4 linked regions of the Caenorhabditis elegans genome follow. The protein of the gene in region 4 interacts with the protein of the main gene of each other region in a pairwise test. Each region holds a gene or a part of one and is shown on either strand. Other genes may lie near its edges.

Region 1 (7,286 bases), on a different chromosome or scaffold from region 4:
ATATAAACAAAAACAAATCAATGGAATACATTGGGCACATCATGCTCAGTTACCCTCATCCTCATCAAGAAATGGTCATTATCGATCTCGGAGCGTAATGAGAGTAAACAGAGCACAATGATGGACGTCGAAGGATAGAAAAGGTGTCATCTAACGGGTCAAATGTGTATTGGATTTTTTGAGCATTAGTTCAAACCTGATCATGGTTTCCTATCAGGGCTGAGCGGCTGGCAAGTCGGCTAGTAGAGCAAGTTTAAACTTTTCACAGTTTCAACAAATAACGAATTAAAAAAATTATGTAATTTGAATAGGTTGGCCAATGGGTCTGTTTCTGAAAAAAAAATCAGTCACCGTCTTGAAGTTCTCAGGTGTCGGCTGTATTCAAAAAACGTGTGTATAGATTTTTTTTTTTTTGAAAATTGTTTTCTAATTACTTATTTCAGCAGACAATTAGTTCAGCAGACACTATTCTACCGAAGTTTTAACTATTTCCAAGTTAGTACTTGCTCACACACGAAACACATTAAATTTGCTCTACCAGCCCGAATTACCAGCCGCATAGTCCTGCTTCTTATATATTAATAGAAAAATGTTAAGCAAAAAGTAACCATGTATTTGAATCAATAAATTGACGGTGGAAATAATAATTCTAAAGGAGTAGTAACGGTTTGTTATCTTACTGCATAATATCTAAAACAGTTTGTAAATTTAAGATAGTAAATAGGTAAACCATGAAGCAAAAAATGCTCGGATGTTTTAAAGGTAAACAATAAATTTGCGCAAGGTACAATATCTTTAACGAATATTTATTTGAAGACGGATATTTGAATTCGAAAAAATAATTCGAAAATTAGTGATTATCATATCTAATAATATAGGTTTTTTGGAAAACTGCTCTCCGTGTAGCGTTGGACACTTTACGTCATGGTTGTCATGCTGTATTTGAGAATTTATTTTTCAACACAACAATCAGAACATGGTTCGCGTATGTACATATTTTATTGTTTTTCAATAAAATGACATGTTATTATAAAAAATACATTATTACGTCGGCAATATGATTCCTAAAAATTTAATTAAACTCCAAATTAGAAAGAGCCGTCATAAGCCTCGGAGATATGATATTTTCCCAGCCAATTAGAGTGAACGTTGATTTTTCGGGATCCACATGAACTGTTGCCACTTTGCCCTTGGAATCCCATATTATGTAGCCGGTCTCGATGAAGTAATTTGTCATGGCCGGAATTCTGAAAAAAAAAACTTAGTTTTTCGTGAACCAATGAGTTGTGAAGAAAACACACCCTTTGAATTTTTCCATGAAAACATTGTTTTCTGTCCACTCAATAGCGGCCACTCCTTGGAGTGCATATCTCAAATCGATATTGTCAGCGTTTTGACAGTGCAAAAACCTCAATCTCTCAAATGTTTCTCCATCCACAAACGAGCTTATTATGGTTTGTATGTTTTGGTTATCCACAATAAGTCTTGAGATGAGAACAATTTCGAATAATCGTTCATGGAAGTAGTCGTATTCGAACCATTCATTTGGGTTCACCGGCAACTTTCCACTTGTAAAATTCTGAAAAGCATGATACTGTGTTATAAATTTGAAAATGAAAAACAAGTCATATTTTATGAAAAACTTCCACATCAAAATTAACTTCGAAATATTCAATCTTGATTAAGCGTGCCGGAAAAGACGATAGCAATAAAGAATTAGCTCAAACGGTAGATACAACACGAAAAATTTCGTTTTTATGTTGAAATTTCTTTTGAGATGGAATACATTGTTATTAGTGATGAAGTTAAATTTGACGTGTCATTTTTGTTTTACTTTATTCATAATTTTTTGAGTTAGAATTTTTCAATTAAATTTCTATGAAATCTGACTTTACTGGTAATTTTCGTTCTCGCAATTCTAGCCCTATCGGAGAAACCGTCCATGGCAACAAGCTGCTTGTTATTCGAAAACATTTTCAAATACTCATGAATTGTCTGAGAAGCATCATCACGAACAATGTACTGGCTTTCTTTGAGAAATTTGAGATCCATTTGAGATATCCGTTCTTCATTTCTATCTTCAGTGGCAATATAGAGAATAGTTTCTAATTTGGCTCTCATAAAAAAGTTTTGGAAAAAATGGACCAGTTGCACAACTATGTCGCGATGGTTTTTGGAATGAGTCCACCACGTATTTTTAAATACATGAGCTTTTTCAGTAACGGGTCCAATGGTTTTTATCGATTCACTTTCATCCCAAAATTTGGTTTTGTAAAATAGCCAGGTGAAACCTTTGATTTTTAGTTGACTTTGATCAGTATAAAAGTTTACTGTGAACTTTTCGGTATTGACATGTTCACGTATTGAGTTATACAGAAGAGGATTGTCCGAAATTTGCAGTCTAAAAATTGCATATTAGTTTGAAGTGTTTTTTTTTCAATTAATAAAAACAGTTGTGAGTGTCAAACATATTTCAATGCACATTTAGTAAAATTATTCACTATTTAAAACTTACAGATCTTCAATTGGCATGAAATTTAAAGTCTTGATCATGACAAGGTGAGGGAGACGCAGCAGCTGGAAACCATCGTTCATTTTGATATTGCCTGAAACAGGATTAGATTTTTAGATGAATTGTGCGAGAAATACGACACGTATGAGAAAGAATGAAAAGAATGTTGATAAAAAACACCTACGGGTAAATGTTGAAGGAAATTTTAAATGTTAGTATTACGTTTTTTTTTTGAGAAAGAGTACTTTAAAGTGGAAACTAATCAGAAGATTTGATTGAAATCCGAACGCTTGAATGTTTCTCCAATTGATAGAATGAAGTTAGTTATAGAGACGCAGAGAGAGAAATATTTTGTGTATATTTACGCGAACGCATATGAAGCGAACACAAGTCATTATATTGTTCGGAATATCAAACACCTAATTTGAATGTCGTTTCATAAAAGAACCGGGTAAAACTAAAATCTAAAAACAGTAGAAGAGTCTACATGTCATTAGCAACCCAGCAACGGTGAGATCTAAATCAATCAATAGGTTATTTATGAACACTATAAAAGGAGAGACAAACCACCCACACCACCGTCTCTTCTCACCTTTGTGCGAGAGAGTTGTCTCTAGCAGGTGAGCCTGTGCAACAGTTTTGGAGCTGACAAAATCTAATGCAGAAAAAATTGTGTGTCCAGTTGTGGGGAAAAACTAAAATTGTTTCAACCCCGTAAACCTCCTTCATGTTCAATCAATAGTGACATAAATCCTTTCGACCATCGTCATAAAGATTGCAGATAGCGAAGTTGAAGATGTACCAACTATACTGGTTGGTAGTTGAGACATGTTGATTCACATCCAGTACCTCTTCCCACCTTTTCATTACCTTCTAGGGTGCCTTCTTCAGCATGTGCGCTTCTCTACTGGAGTTACTTACTTTGATACTTTGAAGTCCGTTTGGATCAAGTTAACAAGCAACTTCGGACAAATTCTCTCCAGTTTTCACGTTCAGTGCGGGCGCTCTATAACCATGGAACCTTTGGAGAAAGGATTCCAAATCTTTTACAACTCTTCCTTGAAGAGCCTCGGGTTGTTAAACGATTTGAAGGCGTCGTCAATGTCTTTTGTCCATCGTTTCTTCGGTTAACCAGTTGCTCTCTTCCAGTTTTTGTTGTGGCAGGGCTCCCATTCAGTACAAATTTTGAGCCATCTGTTAGGATCTCTTCTCAAAACGTGACTCGAGGCCTTTTCATCAAACATTTCACTGCTCTTTTCTGATTTTCTAAGAATTTAGAATACCCTTCCTTACCCAATTAACGAAATTACCCAAAAAATACCCAATTCAAATCAAACACCCCCTTTTCTCGCTTATGACAACAAAAAATGAAATTGAACTCGTAATTCTGTCTCTATAAGTTTTCACAAATATTCTAATAATCTTTCAGATTTAGAAAACTCACAACAAAAACGAGTATGGTGTTTGCGTATGAACGTCACATTTACGACCTAACAAGGGAAGTCTTTGAGGGGGTCCGTAGATTTGGGATTCTCATGCTAAAATTCCTACAGAAGAGTGTTAGTTATGATCTCTCCAAAAAATTTAGCTGCCCCGGTCAAGTTTCAGCAAAGTTATGACGTTTTGAAATTTCAGTTAAAAACACCATTGAAATCCACTGTCTTACCATGCAATCCACGCAAATCTCAGCTTGCGTGACCACCGAAAATGTGACACCCACCACATTGAGTTGAAAAATGTCCTCGGTGGCCGAGTTGGGAGTGCGCGCGTCTGATAAGGTTTAAGCTTTGGTTCGATTCCTTCTATTTTTGAAATATTTTTGTAAGTTGAATAAAGTTGTAAAACAACTCATTCAAACATTTTTGCGCATTTTTAAAGTGATTTTATTCTTATTCGGGAACCTAGAATCATTGTCCGCACTTTTTGGAAATTTTTATTTTTTTCATTTTTGTTCAAAATTTCTTGATCAACTCCAAGCAAAAAAATCAAAAAATTTCATTTTTCTAAACAATTATGAAATTGCTATGTTGTTGTTCAGAAATGTATGAAACGTACATTACACAAGTTTTAACTCTCTATTCGCAAGTAAACCGTCGAAATGATACATCTCACGAACTTTGTGAAAAATATTTAACCAACTTTGAAGTTGCATAACTTCGTTGAGATAAATTATTTTGAAAAATGATCAACTAACAAAATGTTTGTTGAATAACAGTGAACAAAGTTTTAGTTATAAACTTTTTGATACCTTCAGCCACCAAAAAGTTGTGACCGTTTTCCAAAACACAATGTTAATAGAAAAACTAGCCAAATGCCAACCTTGTTTTCTTCTTTGTAGCTGGAGGTATCAAAAAGTTTATAACTAAAACTTTGTTCACTGTTATTCAACAAACATTTTGTTAGTTGATCATTTTTCAAAATAATTTATCTCAACGAAGTTATGCAACTTCAAAGTTGGTTAAATATTTTGCACAAAGTTCGTGAGATGTAGATCATTTCGACGGTTTACTTGCGAATAGAGAGTTAAAACTTGTGTAATGTACGTTTCATACATTTCTGAACAACAACATAGCAATTTCATAATTGTTTAGAAAAATGAAATTTTTTGATTTTTTTGCTTGGAGTTGATCAAGAAATTTTGAACAAAAATGAAAAAAATAAAAATTTCCAAAAAGTGCGGACAATGATTCTAGGTTCCCGAATAAGAATAAAATCACTTTAAAAATGCGCAAAAATGTTTGAATGAGTTGTTTTACAACTTTATTCAACTTACAAAAATATTTCAAAAATAGAAGGAATCGAACCAAAGCTTAAATCTTATCAGACGCGCGCACTCCCAACTCGGCCACCGAGGACATTTTTCAACTCAATGTGGTGGGTGTCACATTTTCGGTGGTCACGCAAGCTGAGATTTGCGTGGATTGCATGGTAAGACAGTGGATTTCAATGGTGTTTTTAACTGAAATTTCAAAACGTCATAACTTTGCTGAAACTTGACCGGGGCAGCTAAATTTTTTGGAGAGATCATAACTAACACTCTTCTGTAGGAATTTTAGCATGAGAACCCCAAATCTACGGACCCCCTCAAAGACTTCCCTTGAAAACGTTTAATTTGACGCGCAAAATGGGCAGCTGCTGTGAATCAAAGGAATGGCGGAGGTTGAAAGACGCGCGATTGTCCAGGAAACATGGCCGAATGGTCTATTGGTATGATTCTCGCTTTGGGTGCGAGAGGTCCCGGGTTCAATCCCCGGTTCGGCCCATTCATTTTGATGAAAATTTTTAACAATTCAACTTATTTATTGAACAACGAAGTCGGACGGATTAATAGGTGACACACATATCCTTGATGCAAATGCTTTTACAGTTGTGACATCCCAATTCCACTTTTGCTGTAGCCAAAGAGACCAGAAGAAATACCATAAGGAAGAGGAAGACGGATCGGACAATAGAAAAGGATTTCATGTTGAAATTTTACAATGATGCTCTAAGACAGACTGATTTCTTATATAGTGCTGAAACGTCACATGACAAATGCGTAGGAGGTTTTAATGGGAATATGTAAATTTCATGGTTTTGACGTTTTTTCCAGAAAATGTTCTGAATCATAAAAAAAATCAACGGGAATCTATGAAGATCAGTGATCAAACTCAAAATCTGTGTGCTCCTGTGATTTTTCTAATCCTCTATACCAATTAGAAGAGCCTTGGGCGTGTACCAGCTCACATGTTCCCTTGATGCGCGACTGGACATCTGTTGTGTGCACATCGGGTCTTCGCTCTTTTTCTCTAGTTCTGTAGTCAGTAACGTTCTCTACAAAGTCTAATTACTAGCCAAGCAGTTTATCGATTCTTGTGCAACGTTTATTCGATTCCTCTGTTCAGAACTCCAACTCTTTTTTGTTTGCATGTTGCTATTTTAGTCCCCTCCACCACTTAGTATATTAATCTTTAGAAAATGCGATAAGCTCAGTTCAGAAATTCAATAAAATATATATTCACATGGTTTCAAATTTTTGTAAAATGTGGTTTGAAGATGGCTCTCTCAATACACATTCCGTTGTGTATTTTTTTTCTGTATACGTGCGTAGTACGTAGTACACATTCAATTTTTTCACGATCGAGTAGCACGTTTATTGTTAACAGTGGTTCTACCGTTTTTATGCTTAGGGATCTGAAAAACTTAATATTAAATTGACGAAATCGACAAAATCGACGAACTGCTTAAAATGATCGGCATTAATTTGCTTCCTTCACTAATTTTGAAGACTACCGTTCTAATTCACTCTTCGATCAGAACCTGGATGAGACTACCAAAAAAAGAGTGCTGCGAATGCGTTCCTATCTATTCGTAGTTTCATTTACAAGGGCACTCGTACCGCTGTGTGCAATGCGCACGTCCTAAAACACCTGTCCTTCGTGCCTATCGATCGTTGGTTAGGTCTCTCATGGTCACTCCATCTTTCGTGTGAGACACGTCGGATGAGAAGACTCCACCCATCTGGTTTCTCTCGTTCTAGCTAATCTGCGGAAAATATTCGTCCGTGCTCGCTTCGGCTCCAGCCTCATTTAATCCACATTGATTTTTCATTCGACGCCTCTCTCCATTGCGAGACTGCAATTTTGTATTTGATAAAAATTTTATTTCCTTGCTCTACTACATCATATTTTCTATGGTTTTCATGATTTTCCCTATTAGCCATTGAGATCCTGTATCATGTTTCAAAATTTGAATAAAAAATTCGATCATTCGACCTTTGTCCTATTTAAAACTT
Region 2 (9,869 bases), on a different chromosome or scaffold from region 4:
AAACAAACATTTTTGCTAAGTTAAATAATTTAAGACGCAATTTATTCAAGGTCATAATTCAGCCTCATAATTTTGATAAATATAACAATTTTTTTCGTTTTCAGACGTGGACAAACAACTCACGAAGACGATATGAATGATAAGAAAGATCTATTGTTCTACCAGGCTGATGACGATCATTATGTGCCAAGAGCAGTTCTAGTCGATCTAGAACCTCGTGTAATCAACGGAATGATGCAGTCTCCAAACTTTTCGAATCTTTTCAATACGGACAATATATTCATGTCCGATCACGGAGGTGGTGCTGGAAATAATTGGGCAAGTGGATATTGTCAAGGACAGTGAGTTGTATTTCTTTAATTGAAAATCAATGATAAATAATATTTAAGAGAAGTTCAAGAGAAGATAATGGATATCATCATTCGAGAGGCTGAAAATACGAACAATTTGGATGGAATTCTATTTACTCATAGTGTTTCTGGAGGAACTGGATCTGGAACGGGATCTCTCTTGCTCGAAAGGCTTCGCGAAGCATTTCCGAAGAAAGTTATTCAAACTTACAGTGTTTTTGCAAATAGTGACACCAGTACTGACGTTGTTGTTCATCCATATAACTGGGTACTTTCTATGCAAAGACTTATTGAGAATCCTGGTAAGTTAATAAATTAAAAACGAAATGACAATGATTTATCGAAAAATCTATGAAAATTCCGCAACAACGAACGTTTGAAATTACAGTACCCTTAAAAGGCTCACATATATTCGCATTAAGTGAAAAAGACCGGGTACCGTCTCAATTTTTGTATCTGAGTAATAATAAAAAAAAGGAATTTCAAATAAATAGTTTTCAGATCATGTTGTTGTCCTCGATAATGCTGCACTGCACCGTCTTGCGGCTGGAAAATTCAAAACAGATACACCAACATTTGATCATATCAATTCTCTTGTCGCCCGAATCATGAGCACTTCCACTGCTCCATATCGATTCAACTCTGCAATGTGCCCATCAATTCGGTATTTGGATTTGGCTCCGTTTCCACCAATGCACTTTATTCAATCCGGTTTGTTTTTATTCCGAAATATGTTATTTTATCTATTTATTTTGTTTTTTGCAGCTATCTCTCCTGTTGTCGATCCAAATGAGAACTTTACCCGAAAAACTTCAGTCGCTGACGTCACTCGCTTCTTGTTAAAACCAACTTCAATGATGGTTTCAACTGCTTCTCGGGTTCGGCCAAATGACTGCATGCTATCAGCTTACATGTTCCTTCAAGGACAAATTGAGGCACATACAATTATGACTGCTGAGCAAAACGTTGATGTAAGCTCAATACTTTAAAGAATTTCCGGGAAAATTGAAAAATAAATTTACTAAATCAACCATAAAATTCAATTTTTATCAAATTTTGTTTATGTTCATGAAAACTATAAGAAAGCATATAAATATTTTCTAAAAATAAAAATAAGCAACTTTAAAAAATATTTTTCGAGATATCGGAAAAACGAAAAATTTTCGTAAGCTAATTTTGGAGATGTAGATTTTATTCTCAAAACACGAAGGCGGTCACAAATACCGAGATACTGCAAACGAAAAAAATCTTCAAATTACATTGCAAAAATGAGCGCTTATTTTGACGAATCAGCAATTGTGAAGCAAACTTTTTTAAAAAGTATTTTTGACATGAAGTAAAAAATTTTTAGAAACTTGGAAATTTGACAAAAGCGTGGCAATTCAAATAACACATTAGTCAGAAAATCAAAAATGCACCAATAAAATCACTATTTTAAAGACAAAATTAGTGATTAATAATGACTTTTTTTCGTTATTTTTCTATAATCCACCTTAAAGCATCAAATCAATAAAATCAAATTTCAGTTCGCAATCAGAAGGCCTCCATTCTACATGCTTAAACCACTTCGAATGATGCATGCTCCACTCTCTCCATATGTTCGGCCACAATACAAAGTATCTGGACTCTTGCTCAATAACAGCACAAGCGTGGCTCCGTTATTCGAATCGCTTCTCTCCAAATACGACAAACTACGATCAAAGAGAGCCTTCATCGACAAGTTTGAAAAGATTGACAATTTCTCGCTGGATATGATGGACGATGCAATGCACATTGTGCAAGACTTGCTGGACGAGTACAAGGCGGTCGTACAAAAGGACTATCTGACAAGAGGGCTTTAGATTTATTATTATTTATTCTCGCGGGATTCTCATTCACTTCTTAAAACGGATCTCTGTCGATTATCATATGCTGTGTTTATTGTATTATTTATATCATGTGCTCCTCATCATCATCATAATTTTCACATAAATATTGGTACTCTTGTCTCAGTGGTTGTACTATTGAGGTTTATTTAAATTATTTAGTTATGATTATTGCGCGATAGCAATAGAGAGACATATTGAGGTCTGAAAATGAAAGTGTTTCAAGCTGCACATACGGTCAACAAAACCACCGGGTGAAAAATGAAAAAAAGAGGAAATCGACACGATTTGTGTAAAAGTAACGGGGCAGTGTCTGGAGATGAACAAGACTGGAAAAAAAGGAAAATGAAAAAACAAAAAGTTATCGGTGGGGAGAACGAAACAATGGATAGGTCCGTGAGAGCGCGGGAAATAAGGAAGCTAGATTGATTAGAAGAAAAATGACAAGAAGACCACAATCGGCACAAAAAATTTTGGAAAAAAACATTTCATAGAAACACAACAAGTAGTATACCTAAAACAAGAAGAAAAATGGGAAAAGAACAAAAATTCATCAAATTTTGTGATAAAAATGATAGATACTGTGCCTGGTGAGAGAGAGAAAAAAGATGAAGAGCAAAAAACAGGATCAACCTGAAGAAAGAAAGAGAGAAAAAGAGAAAGAGAGAGAGATTATGAAACGTGGAAAATTTGATAATTGTATTTGTAATTGTAACTCTACATTTGTCAAAAGTCAGGCTCAACGGACGAGCGATGTCTGTGAGGTTGGTGGAGGAGATGTTGGAATGAAATGACTTCCCTCCAAATGACGAATAGCTTCAACAATTGTTTGCATTGATTGAGACAGGGTCAGGCTCGGTTGTGTGCTTCTGGAATTGATGGCAACATATTAATTTTTTTAAAAATTCGAAAAGTTTGCTCGAGAACTATTATGCAGACGTAGAAAATCTCCGCCCTCCATAGCTGGGTCTCGTTAGGTATTTGGCGGCAAATCCGTGAATTCAAACGTTTGTCATTAAATAATTGTACCAATTTTCAGGAGTTTTTCGTCGTTTTTCGTCTTTCGTTGTTTTTATTGGAAAAATGGTTGTTTTTATTGGAAAGTTTTTTTAAAATCAATTTGGCATACGTACCCAGAAAGACGCAAAATGTTCAAACATTGGCGAAACTAATAGAAAAAGTTTGAATTACTGGTTTGGCCCCCCAATACCTAACGAGACCCAGCTGTTGGGGGCGGTCCTCGATTTTACAAGGGGGATTTTTCTACGACCTCATAATAGCAATATTGCAACCTACAGTAACCACAACATTTTTTTTGACTGTATAGAGTATATTATAAAAAAGATTTAATTGAAATTTAATAATCAGCATAAAATAAATTTAAAAATTAAATTTATAACGAAGATTTGAATTCAGAAATTGAATTTTGAAAGTAGATCATTCCACATACAGCCTTCTTCTCTCAAAACAGAAAACTGAATTCATAATTTTTCCCCCATAAAATATACAGAACTCACACAAACGCAGAATTATGTCCCTGCAGATGATGTGGCAATGCGACGGGTGTCGAGTTACCGGTAGACATGGCCGAGGTGACCGCTGCCGCCGCTGTTTGGAACAAAATACTCGATTGAGTTGGAACTGCTGTTGAGAAGATTATTGGAGCGGCAGTCAAAGGTGATGGAGTTGACAGAGATGGTGATGATATTTCAACTTAAATGTTTATATATATTTATAGTCAAAAAGTTTTATTTGAATATTCCAGGGCTTCAAAAAATGCTACCATGCATTAGGCCTTAATACTCTAAATTTCCCAAAAGACCAAATTTTCCAAAAAAAAAATTTGGTAATTTACCAAAATATTGCCTGGAAATTTTGAAACATCTCAAACGTTTCATAGTGTTTTGTTTGGACATTCAATCTTTTTGAAACTAATTTTGAATATATCTTTCCAAAAATTACCTGATATTGGTGGTAGTGGTGTAGGACGGATAACAGTTGTCTCTAAACTTGGCAATGTTGGAGGCGGATGGAATATACGTTGAGACGCCAATGATTCAGAAGAAGTTGGACTACCGTTCAGTGTCAAAAGAGACAACGGAGTACTTGTTGTATCTTGAAATGATGGTTTCCTTTCCGGTGATTCTCGTAACGGAGTAGGAAGAGCCGATGAAGCATATGAAGATGGCAATGTGAAACCACCAGAACCATTAGATCTTGGTGTCACTGGTGACGATGCTTGCGATGATGTTGTCGTCATTTGGAGCAGCTCACGGAGCTGAATTACTTGACTCTCCAAAGCCTTACGGGCGGCTCGTTCAGTTTCTAATATTGTTTGGAGATGTGCTATTTGCGCTTGATGGTCAGCGTCGTGGTGATCTTCTGAAACAAAATTTAATTTGAACAGCTTATATTAATTTCAAGTTTGAACTGATTTAGGGTAGGCACGATTCAGTAAGATTTAGACTTCTTCAGGCCATTCTAGGCTGGAATTATTTTGTGGAATTTCAGAATTTCAGATTATCCAGATTTTTGTTGAAACACAGTTTCCATTCATCCTACTCCACTTTTCAAAAATATCAATAAGATATAAACTTACCTTCAAGTTTGAGTTTTTTGGGTTCTCCACCGTCAGGTATATCTTCTCCTTTGTGTCCCAAAAGTTGATGAACCATATCCGCAGTTTGCTGCAGAATAGCCGCCTTCGACAGCTTTTCTCCCTCTTTTCTGGGAAGTAAGGCTCTTAGAGCCAAGAATCCCGCATTGATGCTCTGCATCCGCCGCCGCTCGTTGCAATTGGCAATTTGCCGACGCATTCTGGATCTATACTATATAAAGTTACAGTACTCACCACCTTTCAGTGCTATAAAACTAACCTTCTGTCGGGGTCGAGCGACGTTGGTGAAAGTGGCGCCGGTTGGGATAGTGACCGGTTGGCGAGCATTGGTGCATGCCCAATCGTCGAGGTAGGCAAGACAGAACGCAACGAATTCTGCATTCCAGAAGCCGTCAAATCAAATGCCGAAGCAGCTGACATGATGGATGGTGGTGCCATTCGTGCATTTGTCACGGAATTCCAGTCGGCGATAGTCACGGGCAATGCACCTGTACCCGAACTCATCATCTCCTCGTCCTCTTCAGTTAGATCAAATCTGCAAAAATGTGTTCGTAGATGAGGTTGTTCAAGAAGCGAAATTTATCAAATAATTTGGGGCCAATTAACTTCAACTTTCCAATTAATGCCTTCTCAAGACGCAAGCTTTTTCGTGAATATCTTCATATTTTTCTATTCTACAACTACAGTACAGTACTCCTTTGAGGATAGAGAAAAAACATATTTTTTAAAAATTGGAAATTCACAAAGTCGTTTTAAATTATTATAAATGCATTTTAAAAAAAAATTCCAAAAGTGATAAAACACATTTTAGACCTTAAATTTGAACTTTGCCGACAATGGGTAACATTTGAACTAATATTAAAATAACTCTAGCTTTAGTTGTTCTGATTTTTATATTGATCTTTTCATCTACAATTAGAACCTATCAATTCAATAAATGCCACGATTCCACAAAAAAAAAGAAAGAAAATGGGATAAATTAGCTTCAATTTAACATCTCAATATTTCTGTTCCAAAAATTATGAGAAATTATTAGTACAAATTGCCACATGCAGTTTTAGAATTGAGGAAAAGTTCATCTGCGTCTCTATATTGTGTTTTTCTCTAAAAGCCAGGTGTTCTTGTTGCGTGTCACTGAGAACGAATTGAAAGCCATGGGAAATTATTTGAATTTTATTTATTGAAAAGTTACTGTAGACTTAACACTTCACTTGGAAACTTGATAGGTTTAGAGGGAGCAAAAAAAGTTTATTTTCGAATTATTTTCAGATTTTAATACTTTCATCAAATGAGAGTCTGATCCTGGATATATATATATATATAGTAGGCAGGCACGTCTTCAGACCGCCTGCCTAGTCGCCTAGAAGGCGGGAATTCAACCATATTATGATTATAAGCAAAACTCGGCTTAGACTTATGTCAATACATTACTTTTCGAATGTTTCTTCTTAAAACCATGAGCAAAAAATGTAGTACAAAAATCCTTACCCATCATCAATGATGATTTGATCTTCTTCTGCGCTATCCGAACGAACCATTTTCTACTATTGATCTACCTGAAAAAAATTTTCTTTTTTGATTTTTGAGGTTCTCGAATTGAAATTCTATTTGTTCCTTATTCTCTCTTTTTCCGACAAAAGTTTCCCGAAACCCGTAACTCTTATCACCTTTCCCCCACTATGTTGGCTGACTGGCTGACATGCCATTTTCTTTGTAGAATCAAAGAAGATAGGCTCTTTTCCCAGCTGAAAATCTTTGTGATAAGCAACACTTGGGGGCAAAGATAACAATGATTATACCACGAATTATTTGAAATAAGAAATAAATACTTACTGTTAGTACTACGGAGACTACGAAGGGACGATGGGAGCCGTCTGGATTACCTGAAACTTTACAAAATTGGAATTATTTGCGACAAAAAACCAACAGCTGATGCTTCACGAAAATTCTTGAAGGGGAAAGATCGAAAAAAAAAAGAGTTTGTCAGTGTGTCATATGGCATGTTTTACACAGACACATGAGGGGAAAGAGGAAGCAATCGAGGGTCGAAACACACCGACTTATAATTCAAAATCGGGCAGTTCGTCTATTTCATACGGTAGGTACCAATGTATATGTAAATTAAATGAAAAAGGCGTGAGGAAGAGGGCAGTTTCAGTGTAGCAGATGAAATAGGTTTTAAATGTATAGAAAATAGAAAAACTGAAGGGTTTATAATTGAAAAAATGAGAGGGAAAGAACAGGTGATCCATTTTCAGGTGTTTAATGCAACAACTTTTACTTAAAATGTTTCATGATACTAATTTGAATGATCAGAGTTTGGGAGTAATCGAAACATCAGAACATTGCCAAAATTGGAATTAGAAACCGAAAGTTTCTTGTAATGAAATTATTTTTAACTGACGATGAGCTTATCTCGTGAAGCCGACAGAGTCCATGTTTTAATAACAATCAGTTCTCTATAAATTTGCAGAATCACAAAACGTCTTTCAAAAGTTACAAACGGACTTGCTCAGATTCTCTCTTGATAAAATATGAAGAACCAAGAATAAATCGGTCTTAAAAAAAAAAAAAGAAAGAAAAAAAAAAGAATTTAAGGCTAGATTTCAAGATTTCACCCCAAGAAATGAAATATGAGCTCTTGATGTTTTGATCTTTCTACTTTCTTAAAAAACCGAGAAAAAATGTTGATTAGCGATTTATCGGAGAAACGAGAGAGCGATGAACACACAAACTGATTCTCAAACGGAATGGAGAAGACAAAACAGAAAAAAATATCAACAAAAAATTGGTTCCAACTTCCTTGAGCTTATAGACGATAGCCAATTGCACTTACCATATGTTTTTTACAATGAGGGCTCCCTGGAACCCATTGACAAGTCAACAAAAAGCAGTTGACCAGTTAGTTTAAGAATTCTTGGTAATTACGAAAAGTTAGTTACTTCTCACATAATAATCATAAAACTAAAAAAGAAACAAAAGTTTGATCAGCTGTAGTGTGCAAGTGTACGGGATGATCTAGTTGGTCAAGTTTGGCATTTATGGGAGAACAGCTGGGCACATAGAGCAACACGCAAAGTATCTAAAGTTAGAAAACATTTGGTAGTAGATTTATGAAATACTTAATAGAACATAGGTTAATAGAGTCTAATCGTGAAAATATTGGAGATTTCAGAGGAAGATTTCTCAATTTTTGGAGGCAATTTCCTGCCTAAATTTTTGTGTATAACATACATATAAAGTTCGTCCATAGTTTTGGCAAAACTTCGGAAAAACTTGGTCAAGATTTAGTTGAAACCGCGTTAAAGGTTGGGAACAATTTTTCATAGTCATACTCACTATAGTTCTTATAAGATCACAAAACATCACCAAAATCGGCAAAGAGATCAGTTCAAAGGCGTAGTAAAAGAGAAAGACACTGAACAAAACGACATCGAGAACTATTCGGACGGTAATGATCTGTTATCATTCAAAATAAAGGTTAAGGGATTTTGTTGCGATCTTCCCCATCAACCGATCCAAGAAACATTTTCTGAAGGGATCCTGAGAATTAGAGACAGATGGATGGATGGGGAAAACACCTGATGGCGCGGCCCCCAGTTTTGTTGGTTGGGGTCACAAACAGCTGTGAGTGGAGTGAGAGAGGGAGAGAGTGATTTAAGAAGATTTGGACGCAACGGAGAAACAGACGGAGAAAAGTTTGCAGTTCGCGTCTCGTTTCGTTTCGAGACCTTGTCTAGCGAAGGGGCAAACGTAAACGCTCGTTTCCGATGATACGGTAGGCGCGAGCCAGACAGTGAGTGAGATAAGAGATAAAATAATTTATCGGGGGGAAGACAAAGAAAGCTAAAAGATAAAAAGAAACATAACAACATATGGAATCATAACAAACTTGAGGCAGAAAATCAGAAATCTAGGAAGAACGATATGATGGTCGAGTACAGTAAGATCATAGAGGTAGACCCCCTCTAAAATTGTGGGGACTTACTGTTTTCTACTCCCGCAATTTTTGGAGGTCAAATGGAAAGAGGGTTCACCTGAATACTCGTAATAATGGGTACTATATTAATATTATTAACTTTTTCATAGATTTTTCCAAACAAGAGGAAACTTGTTGATCAAAAAAATGGAACTCTTACCATATGGAATTCAATATGAAACATGTTGCAAATAAATGTCGTCACAGACGCAAGGGTGTGTGTGATTTGACAGAATAGGTCAGGTGTTCAATCGCGACTAGATTTAGATATTGGGGTACACAACCGAAAAAACGAGACGATCGAAATACGTTCGTCGGCGGGACGAGAGATGGGGGAGCCGGGCGCGAAGAGAGACTGCGAGACAAATAGACATATACACAGGCTGACTGACTGGCTGACTGGGCTGGGGGGGGACGACGCTCCGAATCATTTGGGAGAAAAAAGTTTTTCGCGGCGGCGACGACGACGAAGACAGCGGTGGTGGTGGTGGACTGATCGGTTTGCTGCAGCAACACAGGCAACATGGGGTTGAGATGAGAAAGGGAGAAATTGGAAAAAAAAGAGATGGAAAAGAGAAGAAGGAGCTGACGAGAAACACACCACACTCACACACACACACTCACATAAATGTTAAAGGCCAGCAGCAGCGCCTCAATGGTCTTAGGGGTTGAGGGAGCGGGCGCCTCCTTCTCTCTCTCTATTGCTTACTCTCTCATGTTCACTATCTCTCTATATCTCACAATTTCTCTATACTTTTCCTATTTCTTCGTTTCTCTGTAGCTCTCGTCGCAAAAAAGGAGGCGAAGCGCCGAACATATCTCTGCGTCTCTGACGCACTCGTTCGACGATCATCAGGCTTTCGGAGAGGAGGAAACGAGAGAAACGATGGGCACGTGGATGGGCACCGACGGGGTCGGGATGCCATCGACATGTGTTTTTGGTCGGATGATCTTCGAGGTTGAGTTGGCGCCAGGATGTGGAAGAGGATTGGTGAAGGATGTTCGAATCAAACAGATGGGAATATTGGTCACTAGATCATAGATAATTTGCAAGATGT
Region 3 (6,397 bases), on a different chromosome or scaffold from region 4:
CAGTGAGTTGGTTGATTTTTGTGTGAAACACGCAGTCTAAGGAAATTACGAAATTTAGTTTTGAAGAATTATATAAAAGTTTTGAAACACTGATTTTTTTAAATCTGATTTAAAGGTGGAGTAGCGTCAATGGGGACATTGCTTCAAAACACGCCTATGGTACCACAATGATCGAATATCATGTTTAAAAAACTCAAAAAAATTTTCTAAACTTTATATGATTTTTTGAAAATTGGAAAAATCTCGGTTTTTCCCTAATTCGTATGGCAAGCAAAAACGGCACCTGTCTGTGCACAAAATGTCAAAAATGGGCCCATTCGAAGTGTTATGGAATCCGAAACAAGTGGACACCAAGATTTTAATGCAAAAATTGTGCTTCTGAAAACAATTAAAGCTGGTCGAAAGTGCTTGTAAACTTATCAATATTGTGAAACAGAATTATTTTTGTATGCTTCAAACTTTCCCCAAACTTGTATAGCTTTTCCATCAAGTTTGGAAAAATATTGACTACATTTCAAATGAAAAACTTGTATGTGTCAAGTGCCACGTCTCATTTTTTGGTAACCAGGCAAAAGGAATTTTTGGCGAATTTCCTCTTTTTGTTTTGCAGAAACATGCGTCTACTGGTTTTCTTCCTGAAAATCGCTTTTCTCATCAAATTGGCTATGCCAATTGAGAAAATGTTGTTATTTTATGGAAAAATCGTAAAATTCAACAAAGAAGCTATATCTATAACTGTTACGGATCTAGACTCTTGCGTACAAAACTGTTTCGAGGAATCCACATTTATTCTGGCGTTCTGGAACAGTAGTGGGTACTGTAACTTATTCGGTTTCAGTAGCTTTGATGAGATTCGGGAAATTGAGAGCGACGAGGGAGATGTTGGTCAATATTTAGCTGTGAAGGTAGAGTTTTTTTTTGAATTTTCAAAATTGTTTGAAATTGATTTGTTTTTTTTGAACCAATTACAGGCTGATCTACCAAACAATACTTGCCCAGCTTTCCCATTTGAAACCGATATTAAGCGTCCTGGAAACCAAACATGGAAATCTGGCAATGGCTGGACCACACGGTTATGTAAAGCCGGCTGGACCCTGTTCAGTAGACCCGACTCAATTTTTGTCTGTCTCAAATTTTTCGAACTGAAACTTGGAACGAATCGTACGGTTGCTCTGCAAACTTGTGTAGATAATGGTGCCATTATGACAGGGCTTGCAACCCGTAGCGAAGTTTATTGGTTGACAGGTAGACTTTTTTGTGGAATCAGAAATAATATTTTTCAAATTTTTTTAAAAAGTAATGTTTCAGAATTCATAGTAGCTCCTCTGCAAACCGGACAATGGGATGGAATTTGGCTGAATGGAATGCGAGACTGTAGCTCTAACACCAATAAAACGTGTCAAGTAAGTCAAATTTTGAAAAATTAAAAAAAATTACGTTTTTTTTTTTGCAGAATTTTGTCTGGAGCGACGGCTATACCATTGATACTGAGCTGCTAAAACCGGGGTTTCTTTGGGATCCAGGATATGTTAATAAGTAAGGTTTTAACTCAAATTCTTAACAATTCTCAGTGATTTCAGCCAGCAGGATTGTCTGGCAGTCATAAGCTCTATCAGTGATCTAAAACTGAATATGGTTAACTGTACATCGTACGACGTAGCGATCGGAGTTGCCTGCGGATACCAATTCAAATAATTTTAATTTTTTAAATTAAAAATGAATATCCAGAGTGTTATGCTATAAACAAATTGTTCAGTGTGCTGTATTGCTAAATGATCAGTGAAATTGATAATTCTTCAGTTTTTAAATAGAAATTGTTTTTTTTTTAGAAAAAAATGTACTTTATCAAAAAAAAACTTTACAGTTTCATGTAGTTTTTGAATGTACATATTTACAACTAAGACGTTCTCAATACGAAGATTAAACTTTAAAAATATGTATTTTTTATAAATATACAATTTGAAATCATGAAAAATTAGATTTTTTTCACTTTTTTGTTTAGGACAACTGAGTGCCACAGGGTTCGCATAGGTTTGCATTTAAATAAAATTCTGGAAAAAACACTGAGACGTCACAGCATTGACATTCTGGTGCCATGTGAATGAGAAAATGAGTCAAATTTCAATTCTAACTTTAACTTAAATTTTGATAGAAATTTTTGTTTTTAAGAGAACATCGTATAGTAATAATAATAAAAAAACGTTCAAATTTAAAAACTAGATGAAACAGTGCCGTTTTTTTCCAAATTAAAAAAAAAGTAACTCCCGTAATAAATAAATTGGAAAATTATTTCATGACAAATACTATTTTGCGAAGAAAAATATAAATTTTATTCAAAAATGATTCAGAATAGAAAAATTTGAAAAGTGTCAAAAATAAATGTGGATTCGACAAAAACCCCAGAAATTTCCAGATAAAAATTAATTTAGAAACATAATGGTAATTATAGAAAATTAACAATAATTAAAAGTTATTAGGAATAAAACAAATTATGAAAGAATAAAGTTAAGAGAAGTCAGTGCTAGAGCTGGATGCAGATGCTCCAAAATTGTCAAGAAACTCCCGAGAAAGACCCGATGAAGGAGCAAACCATGAAGAAAACTGGGGCATCAGTGGATTTTGAGCTGGAGTTGGCTCAACAGCTCTGTGAATAAACTGACATTTTGTCCCATATTTGCAGTGTCCAGTTCTAGAGAAATTGTCACAGAGAACTGTCTTATACTTTGGGTGGTTGACTCCACGGTTCTGAAAAATTTAACACTTAAATTAAAACTTCATTGAGCTCAAAGTTTACCTTCTGTTTCAGCTGCAGCTCCTCGACACTGTGAGCAAATTTGCACTGCTCCCCGTATGAGCATGCTCGTGTGAGCTGAAACGTCTTGCAAAGAGCAGTTTTGAATGCATTTTCTTTTCTTTTCAATCGCATCATTTCTTCGTGGAGATCGTCAGGAATTGTGCATGAGTTTACTGTCTTCAAGAATGGTTGAAAATTCTGCGAGAAGCCATTTTCTTTCTGATCAAACAGTCTTGGAGAAGGTGGCTGCTGAGAGAGCCACTGAGCAACATTGTGCAATTTGGTAAAAGTTGGGACGTCAACGGCAAGTGGATTAGACATTTTGAGGGGTTTCTGAAAGTTAAACTGTTTTAGTTAACAAAAATCTCAGAAAAAACTTCTAACTCAATTTTTAATTGATCCTTAATAAGGCAAAATAGCATTCAAAGTAGAGATTTCAATAGACATACAAAATATACAGTGCAACAAAGAAAAGTTTTAGATACCGTTACAAGTCGGGCAAAAATGAAAAATATACAAAAAAAAACAATATTTTAGCGAAAAAATGAGAAAACGACCGCCCAGGATGACAGTTGTTTGCATGAATGACACAATTGTCATCCTGTCATCAGGCAACCTCTTGAACGCTGAAACTTTATCCAATCGATAGCTAGGTTAGGCTCCGCCCATTTACTGGTACATATCGTCTCCTTTTCACAGAGAGTGTGGCCTGTAAATGGGCGGAGCTTGCTATCGATTAGATGCTGTTGCAGCGTTCATTCTTTTTCCGGAAGATAGACTGCCAAATATGTCATTCACACATTTTACTCTCATCATGAGTGGTTGATCCTTTTTTGCTACTTTAATTTTTTAATAACTGTTGTTTTCTAAAATGTTATTTCTATGTTTTGTATTAGACAGAAAATATTATTCAATACACTATGACCACTATGTTTCATATAATACATGTTTGAAGCAGTAATTTTTTTGTTTTTTTTAAATATCTTTCTGAAACTCTGCTAGGATCCAGTTAGACGAAACCATTTTAATCTTTGACTTTCCACTTTTTCACTAATTTTTACTTCTTTTTAATCGTTCTACCAAATTCTTCTCTTGATATCGTTTTTCATTATTTTTTTCCAGAAACTACCCAAAACTTCTACAATGTCTGTTGAAGCAAGCAACCAAGAAAACTCTCTCTCCAGTTTCCTTCTGAAATGTGCTTTCCCAGCTGGAACTACCCCTCCATTGCTTTCTCCACCATCTTCATCAGGATCTTATGAAGAAGCCCAATTCTCACTTTTTGTGAATCAAAATGAAACTGAACAAAAATTGTTTTCTAATCAATCATTGGCCAACCGAGATCCCTGCACAATTCCAGATGAGCTTCACCAAGAAATGAAGAGTTTGAAAAAGAAAGAAGAAGCATTCAAGACATCCCTTTGTGGTTTTCACAGAAGAGGCCAAAAATGTGCTTATGGTGAAAAATGTAAATTTGCTCACAGTGTACATGAGCTCCGCTTCCCACAGACCAAAAGAAACCACCGTAACTATAAAACAGTACTTTGCAATAACTTCTCAACAACTGGGCATTGCAAGTACGGAATCAGGTGTCAGTTCATCCACAGATCTATGAACTCAACTTCTTCAAATCAATCAAATAAAATGGAAAATATTACCATTGACCTGAATGTTCAATCGGACGTTTTTCGTGCATTTGCTCTGGACTCAACAAGTTTATTGCCAAATTGGCATTGCTCAGCTCTTCTTCAATGAATTTTTTAATCCTGTTATCTTATATTAATTTTTAAATTCCCTAATGCTCAATATTTCCTCTATTTTTCCATATTTTTGGCAATTATCGTTTGTCATTTTCTATTATTTTACAAAGTAATAAAATTCTTTTCCTATCTGTGTTCTACCCATCTGTCTCAAAATTTTATAAAGGCTTTGAATCTGAAATATTTTTAAAAAATAAATTTTGACTTTTTTGTTTTCAAATTTGTAATTATACATATATTTGGAACACACAGTGTTTCGAAAATTTTAAAAAATCAATCTAAGTTTAGTTTTTGTATTAAAATGAAAACTATAGTTGGAAATGGTTAAGTAACCTTCAAATCATTAATCATATTAATGAAAAACATAAAACTGGTAAAAATTTTCATCTCAAAAATTATTTTTAGATCTCAAAAACTTCACATTTTGAGAACTAATTTGAAACAATTTGATCGATTTTGAAAAAAACAGGCGCACAAATGTGGTTTTATAAAAAATGGGTACATAATTCCACGTTTGAGTTTTTTTTTTGAAGGATTAGTGCATATTTGAAACAATATACGCACTAAAATTTTTTTTCTACATTATAAGCACCATATTTTGTGCACACTGGAGCAGAATTTTTTTAATATTTACTTATTCAGAATGCATCTGAAACAGTAATTTTTTGGTTGAAGGGTTTAGGGTTAAAATTTAAAAAAAAACAAGCAACAAGTTCTTTGAATTTTGTCTTTTACATTAACAGTGCTGCAAAGCAATTAAAAATTTGAATTATTCAAAAAAGTTTCTACTGTTTCATTATGTTATTTTAAAACTGTAGTTGTATTAATTAGTCTAGCTCACAAAGTAGATCGATTCCACCTTAAAAAGTGCTGAATCATTGAAAATAAGGTCATTGTAATTTTGCAAAACTTTGTTATGTTTACAAATGTGGTTTTAAAGAAACAAAAAATGTATTAATAGTAATAGTACATTTTTGAAACAATATTATAACTGAAAAAGTTAAATTTTTTACATTTTCATTTTCAGCAAAAAAAACGGTTTCCAAATTTGTATGATCAGTCCCAGTTTGACAAAAAATCAATTTTAAAATTCCTAGAAACAGTTTTTTTAAATAAAAAAAGCAAATTTAAACTGTTTTTCTAATTCAATTTAACTATTTTAACGGTGTCTTGGGTCTTGGTGTCTTGGTTCGAGATACTGATTTTTTAATAATTTTTTTTAATGAAATGAGAGAATGGAAACAGTAAAAATTTTTAAATTTGCTATAAATATTTTATTGAACTATTACTTCAAACATCATGAAATTGTCATGAAAACGTTAGAAAAACATTAAAATAGTTATATTAAATTTGAAGCGTTAATTTTTAGAATATGTCGGGTCTTGTAATATATTCTGGACACTTCCTAATTTTTTGTAAATTTGAGCGTCTTTAACTGAAAAATTAAATTTCTAGGAATTTAAAAATTTTTTTTTTTACAGATTTTTTTGGCGACTGTACAAATTTTAATACAGCTTTTCGCTAAAAATGTAAAGAAGTTCTAAAAAAAAAGCACTATTGCTTGAAAAAACTCCAACGTGGAATGATGTATATATTTTCTATAGAACCGCATTAGCAAGCATAACAACATTTTGCAAATTTACAACTACTCAATTTCAAAATGTAGAGTTTTTGAGATCCAAAAATAATTTTTTGAAATATGAAAACTTTTATCAGTTTCATGTTTCTCATTAATTGTTATATAATGACTAATATTCTGATAGTTGTTTAGCGAAAATAGGAGCATAACAGTCCCGTTCATTATGTGTCATCGTTTTTAATGTTAGGAAAATTAAAATTTTCA
Region 4 (6,645 bases):
CTAGAAATGGAGATAGACACTGGTGAATTGGAAAAAAACGAGCAGATCAGGTGATTAAAACGTTTAAAATGTATGAAACAAAATTTCGTGATAATTTTAAGCCGAAAAATCAAAAAATCGCCTCAAAATTGAAGGAAAACAATCGAAAAACGCAAAATTCTGGAAAAAAATAAATCGAAAATTCAAATGTCCGCAAACACCGCGCGGCGAAACTGCACACAATGCGCAGTATTGTACGCGCAAAAAACTTGGAATAATAAGAAAATTTAATATTTATTCGGCAACTAAAAATAGGAAAATTCTAATTTAATTGGAATTTTTATGAACAAAAAAGCCAAAGCGGAAATTAAACCCTACCGTACTACCCATTCCTAAAGGCGCATAAGTCTTTATCAGGCAAAGATCGAAAGAGATGCTATCAAATTGCGGTATGAATGGACAATATGTGCAAAGTACAAGCCAAGACAAACTGAATAACAATGAAACTGAAAAGGAAACACCAAAGTTGAGATAGGTAAATGTTGAAGATCCCGAAGGTTTTTCATCCAGGCGGGAGCAAAAAGTCTCTTTTTCAAGTTCACTTCTGAATATCTGTTTTTTCCATCTTTTTACATTGAAAAATGAATTTGAATCAATAATGAAATAAAAATAATCTTCATCAATCAATTGGAAGTCATAAACGAAAAGAAATCAGGAAAGTTATTGTTTTTCAATTGTGCGTTGGACCTTCAAAGTGATGTTTCCTCGATTCTTGAAATCTCTTAAACCTCCCTGCAAAAAAATACAAAAAATTACATTTAAAAAATCTAATTCTTACATAATTATAAATATTTATTCCATCGATCGATAAGTTTATGTCACCAGCATAAAGAGCTTCATCTACCGGCGATCCTGGAATAACCGAAAGAACCTTGGCGATGCCATTTGAGATTGTAATATGGCATCCAAAATGTTGACTGGATGTCTGAAAAAATCTGTATAAGTATACTGGATGTGTTCGGGATGTATACCTTGTTAATTACAACAGTAAGAATTTCATGCTCCGGGACCGGCTCCGGTTCCTCGCTTCCTTCGAGAATTTTTGGAATACAAGCCGCCTGAACCGGCGTCGCAGTTTTAATTTGCATAGTTTCGAGCTGTTGGTTGATCCAGGAGCACACGCCGAGCTGGGAGAATTTCTTAGTTGTCATGTTGTCTTCGGAGATTTGAATGGGCTTTGGGGTGTCATCTGATGACTTGAATTCATCGCCTTCTTCTCCATCGGATTTTTCTTTATCTGAAACTTAGTTTTTCCTCGCCCTTGACAGCTTCTTCAATTTCCTCAAAATCTTCATTTTTCACGTTTCCTGAGCTAGGAGGCTCTTCCTGTTCTTCATTCATCTCCAAATCATCATCATTGTCCGGTAGAATTGCGTCTGGCATGATTTTGGCTGTAAATTCATAGAATGTTCGAGTTTTTTTTATTTTTAATTTTTTTGTAAAAATTAATTTTTCGTTTTTTCTCAATTTTTTGTCCGAAAAAAAATAAGAAAAGTTCGAATTTCTGTGTTTTTTAAGGCGATTGAATTTATGCAAGTCAAGTTCAGTCGACATCCCGAAAAATTCTGATCGACGTCGAAACCACTCCAAAAGCTATGTTATAGTTTTATTACAACTGTAATTATTAAAAAGCAAAACGAATTACACATGAAATTATTGAAAAATTAATTAAAACGAGGTATTAAAGAGATGGAAATTCCGTTGGATCCAGCATCCCTCGATTACAAGCTGGACAAACGCTCTTTTCCTTGAACCATTGGGAAGCGCACTGAAAATTTTGAAATTTATTTATGAAAAGGTTTTTGAAATGAATAATCTTACATCGAGATGAAACCGACGTCTACACGAATTGCATTTGATAGTTTTTTCAGTCGAAATAACGTCGTCCAGACAGATAAGGCATCGAGCATCTGATAGCTCGGCGCTAGAGCTTGAAATTGATGAAGAAAAGGAGACTGACGGGATGGATCCTTTTTCGCTGGAGGTTGAAGCTTTGAGCTTCTCTGCGCCATTCAGAAGAGCTTTTTCATATTCTTGCATAAACGAATCCGAGAAGGATGGAAATTCCGGAAGCTTCTTGAGCTGAATTCGAGTAGAATTGTCGTTTGACATCAGAATCTCTTCAATATTCTCATCCAACACTAGCATGAAATTCTGGAATGCTCGATTGAACTTGATCAGCTCGTATTTCGCGGCACGCATCGTAACTTCATCTGCCGATAGTCTGAAAAATACAAATTAAAATTTTAGTTGAATGCCGTAATTAAAAATACCTGGCGACAAGTTCCGCGGCTCGTCGCATTGGATTTTCCTTCAAAATCAAATTCCTCGTCGATTCTAGGCCTTCCAACGTGTTTACCATGATTTCCAATCGATAAACTCTAAAACTTAATATATTCTGGGAAAAATAATATTTTTAAAACCAGTTAACGACAAAATCACACAGAGAAAGCTGCACAATTCAGAAAAGATCCGAAAAATCGATAAATCCAGCGTGGCAAACAAAACGTGGGCCTACCGTACCGCTTCAAGGGACATGGTATAATTCTTGCACGGGTTTCGCAACGATTGAGTAGTTAATTAATTTAAATGGAGGTAAAATTAAGAATTTCGAATTTGTTGAATAATTTATATATTTTTCAATATTATTTCCAAAAAAAAAACAAATAAAATAAGGAAAATTTGAATTTAATTGACATCTTTCTGAACGAAAAAGCCAAAGCGGAAATTAAATCCTACCGTACCCATTTTTAAAGGCGCACAAAGTTTTATCGGGCCAAGATCCCGCCGCGTCTTTGAAATTTCCAGGCACAGAATTAAAAATAAAAGAGGTTTTAAGAGGAAACCACATGTTGAAAAAGGTTTATTTACAATTCCAAAAAAAACACTTTTATAGTAAAAATACAATTACTTGATGCTTGGCTGTGTTAGTTCCTCGTTTCGATACATATTGACGGTTTTTGAACAAGTTTCTCGAATTGAACGTTCCAAATTAAAGGGAATTATGCAAATTTCTGGATTATTCGGAAAAAAGTTTCACTGATGACTGAAAAAGGAGAAGAATAATATTGTTGGATAGTATAAAAAATGACAAAAAGTAGAGTGCCTAGTTTTTGTCTTTGTCATAAACCTTTGATATTTTTTCCAAGTCATAAATTATTTTTTTTCAAGTTTCTTTTTTTTGAAACTTTGTTTCAAATTTGTAGTTTTTACAGGAATAAAAATCTAGAGGCTTCCGATTTCGGATATGGCTATTGACCAAGGGACGAAAAATGTGCTCCGACTATCGATTTCATTTTTGCTCCTATTTTTTGCTTATATGAGTCAAGAATACATACAAGAACCACTTATCGAGGAAAAGCATAAAACCGGTGGGAATATTGATCCTCACGCCGGTTATCATAGGTTTGTCTCTTCTATATGGTCACTTTTTCAAAAGCAAAACTGATTTTAGTTTTGCTATAACTTACTTCTTTTTCACACTTTCTTGCCTATTTGTTGCTCCAATAATTGATAAGATTTCCGCGAAATGGGGAATGGTTCTGAGATTTTCGGCATATATTGCATTTCAATATGGATTTATACATATGAATACTTATTATGTGTACATTACTTCAGCGAGTTTGGGTGTCGGTGGTGCTTGTAAGTATGAATCAGGAGGGCTTCGCAAATGTTCTGAAACTTTCAGTCATATGGGTTGGCCAGGGAAAATATCTGACGGAAAACTGCACAAGTGAAACTATTGAACGAAATATTGCTCTGACTTGGTTCATTTTTAAGTTCTGGTGAGTACTTCCATCAATTCTCTGTACCATTTTGATTTTTCAAGCCTCCTCGGTGGTGGAATATTTCTCTACGTTCTGTTCTACAATCAAAAAATGAACGAATTTCTGGAATCTGGAGATGTATTGTATTTCCAACATCCATCTGTTTCTAATTCTGCCAATTTTCAGTACAAAACATTCGTCTATATCTGTTGTTCCATTTCTCTATTGGCGGCGATTAACACGGCATTTCTGCCACAATCAGTGTATGTTCCGGAGAGAAAGAAGCATGAGACGTTCGCGAAGACATTGAGTGAGTTTATGGTAGGTCGCCTTTATGCCTGCCTGCCTACCACCTAATCTAAATTGAGTGTGAGCACAATGTCACTGACTGAAGATTATTTCATTTTGACTGTTAATGAAAGTTCAGCTGCTCGGCAGTAGGCACATATACAGCCCATCATCGGGCAGGCGTAGGTTGTCAGGGAAGTAGGCAGATTTTTTTTGCTTTTTGCCTGCCTATCTATCTACCTAACAGTATGAGACCTAGTTTTGAAATGTTTTCCAAAATTTTTCGGAGTAGAGAAAATTGCGAAAAAATCACATTAAATGATATCAAGTTACTTGGTGACAATGTCAGCGCTATTCAAAAATCAATCAATGTCGTGACGGATTGGTGCGCAAAATGGAAATTGAACCTTGCTGAAAACAAAACCAATGTTATTCACTTTGGAAAGCGGAATCCAAAAAATGAATATTATGCAAACGGAATGAAAATCACCAAAAAGGACTCAGTGAAAGACCTTGGAATCTTCGTCGACGACAAGCTGAACTTCCAGAAGCACATAAACATCATTTCGAACTTAGCCCTTCTCAAATGCCGGCAGTTACTTCGATCCTTCCGCTCAACAAATGCCAGCCTTTACTTCAAATTGTACAATATCTATGTGCAGCCAATATTAAACTACGGATGTGAAATCTACAACCCGATCTCTAAAAATCTGATTAAACAACTGGAGTCGCCACTGAAGTTTTTCTCGAGAAGAGTCTTCCAACGCTGCAATCTATCATACTCATCATATGAAAACCGTCTAGCTCAGATGAACCAAAAGTCAGTTCAACACCTGCGGATTCTTCAAATATTGAGGACCTATCACAACATCATGTCTGGTGAATACCACTTTCCGAATGCCGCATCAACTGTGAGGAAGGCTCGCTCACCCAGATATCCGTACATGATGTGCCCTTGTGGATCAATCAACGAAAGCTTCCTACTAGTCAATCTTCACCTATGGAACCGTATGGCCAAGTTACTTCCGGGGACAATGAGCCGTCAAATGTTTGCATCACGATTAAATTCTATCCCGTTTAATTATTTTTCCCACCCAACTTGATCCCCTTAACTACTTCTGGTTTACAGGATCATTCAAATTATTCAAGTCTGTTTCTCCCGGTGATTATTCTATACTTTCTGTTTTGTTACGACGATTTGAATAAATATATATATATATGGGATTTTCAGGTTGTTTGAAATTTAAAAAAAACCAGTTCAGAAAAATTTTTACTTAAAAATTAAAAGCCTTCTATAAAAATTTTGGTAAAAAATTTCCAGAAGCCACGTTCAAAATAATGCGTGAATCTCCAATGCTCCTCCTGGTCTCTATCTTCCTCTATACAGGATTTTCCAGATCTTTTTGGATTGGTAAGTTGTGCCTACAAAAGGCTTGTGGCTACAGAAGGCAGGCACATGGGCATGCTGAATTGAAACCTTACAGCAATCTACCCAACCTGCATCAAATTCACCCCCGCACTCGGAGATAACACCGCAAAACTTCTAGCGATGAGTGGAATTGCAACCGGGATTGGTCAAATTGTAGCTGGTGGAATATTCTCAGTACTCGGAAAACGTGTCAGAATACTCGGAAAAGATATGATTGTAGTGATTGCTTGTGTACTTCATTTGATATGTTTTGTACTGATTTATTTGTTCTTCCCATATGATGCACCATTGCATCCTACACAGAATGTTGGGACTTTTGAGCCAAAGTTTGTATTTTTTAGGGAATTTTCAAAATTAAAATTATGATTTTTTTCAGTGCCTATATAGCAATATTCTGTTCTGGGCTTCTTGGTTTCGGTGATGCAATTATTCAGACTCAAGTCTACTCGTTCCTCTGTGACGGGTACTCGGAGGAATCGTCTCACGCATTTGCTCTATTCAAGTTTTACAGTGTAAGTGGGAATGTCTGCTTGGTAGGCCGCTTTTTCGAATAGGATTCTGGCAGGCAACAAGGCAGGTAGGCATGTCTGTACATCATGTCAAATTCGCATTTTCAGTAGAACTTTTGAAAATGTCCTAGCGCTTATTTTAAATAATTATTTAGACTGTTCGAAATGCAGAGAAATACTGCCACACACAATTTAGGCACAATACTGCCTGCCTGCCTTCAATGCGACCTACCCCTACCCTGCTCAATTTTCAGGCGATATCTTCAACAATAGCCTTCTTCGTTTCAAAATACTTCACGCTGGCCGGTCATCTCGTTCTCTACGGAGTTTTTGCAATTTTATCAGCTATCACAACAGTTCTAGCCCAACGATTGTATTTCCACAAAACTCGGCATTTGAATTTGAATTTGAGTTTATTTAACTAAAAGAAGAGAAATAAACAAATAAAACGAGACGAACCCTAAAAGAGTTCAACTCGAGTAAAAGTTACAAAAAAAAAGGCATTTCTTTCAAGGTACACTAACATAAGCTTTGAAGCTCAGCTCACTTATAATATGAGTGCACACGGTTAAAAAAAATTAAATTCAGAGAACACGGAGCCAACAAAAATAAA

Evidence for each region.
Region 1: the proteins of Y52E8A.2 (region 4) and T14G8.2 interact in a two-hybrid assay, tested with the Caenorhabditis elegans proteins (one large-scale study listed by BioGRID).
Region 2: the proteins of Y52E8A.2 (region 4) and hlh-11 interact in a two-hybrid assay, tested with the Caenorhabditis elegans proteins (one large-scale study listed by BioGRID).
Region 3: the proteins of Y52E8A.2 (region 4) and ccch-2 interact in a two-hybrid assay, tested with the Caenorhabditis elegans proteins (one large-scale study listed by BioGRID).

Annotation. Positions count from the first base shown.
Region 1 is NC_003284.9:12,853,328-12,860,613, reverse strand, and holds T14G8.2 (F-box domain-containing protein), read right to left. Parts: upstream 2,614-7,286; 5' UTR 2,596-2,613; coding exon 2,516-2,595; intron 2,402-2,515; coding exon 1,891-2,401; intron 1,580-1,890; coding exon 1,302-1,579; intron 1,248-1,301; coding exon 1,073-1,247; 3' UTR 981-1,072; downstream 1-980.
Region 2 is NC_003281.10:9,618,999-9,628,867, reverse strand, and holds hlh-11 (Helix-loop-helix protein 11), read right to left. Parts: upstream 6,722-9,869; 5' UTR 6,666-6,721; intron 6,601-6,665; exon of another isoform or gene 6,458-6,600; intron 6,389-6,457; 5' UTR 6,371-6,388; coding exon 6,321-6,370; intron 5,368-6,320; coding exon 5,092-5,367; intron 5,044-5,091; coding exon of another isoform or gene 5,039-5,043; coding exon 4,815-5,038; intron 4,598-4,814; coding exon 4,178-4,597; intron 3,929-4,177; coding exon 3,733-3,928; intron 3,544-3,732; exon of another isoform or gene 3,395-3,543; intron 3,085-3,394; coding exon 2,955-3,084; 3' UTR 2,340-2,954; downstream 1-2,339. Other genes in the region: tbg-1 (Tubulin gamma chain), read left to right, coding at 105-341, 390-652, 852-1,061, 1,116-1,321, 1,877-2,191. UniProt on the Caenorhabditis elegans protein: Transcriptional regulator. Component of a feedback loop involving atfs-1, atgl-1 and hlh-11.
Region 3 is NC_003282.8:16,274,932-16,281,328, reverse strand, and holds ccch-2 (C3H1-type domain-containing protein), read right to left. Parts: upstream 3,128-6,397; 5' UTR 3,116-3,127; coding exon 2,795-3,115; intron 2,746-2,794; coding exon 2,506-2,745; 3' UTR 2,319-2,505; downstream 1-2,318. Other genes in the region: clec-191 (CW domain-containing protein), read left to right, coding at 615-905, 972-1,245, 1,309-1,403, 1,454-1,536, 1,581-1,695; F38C2.7 (C3H1-type domain-containing protein), read left to right, coding at 3,938-4,549.
Region 4 is NC_003280.10:4,316,611-4,323,255, reverse strand, and holds Y52E8A.2 (RING-type domain-containing protein), read right to left. Parts: upstream 2,421-6,645; 5' UTR 2,402-2,420; coding exon 2,313-2,401; intron 2,264-2,312; coding exon 1,861-2,263; intron 1,808-1,860; coding exon 1,721-1,807; 3' UTR 1,639-1,720; downstream 1-1,638. Other genes in the region: Y52E8A.1 (RNA helicase), read right to left, coding at 700-771, 818-964, 1,011-1,190; Y52E8A.6 (UNC93-like protein MFSD11), read left to right, coding at 3,287-3,444, 3,494-3,681, 3,728-3,824, 3,869-3,944, 3,993-4,116, 5,416-5,505, 5,579-5,849, 5,900-6,035 and 1 more.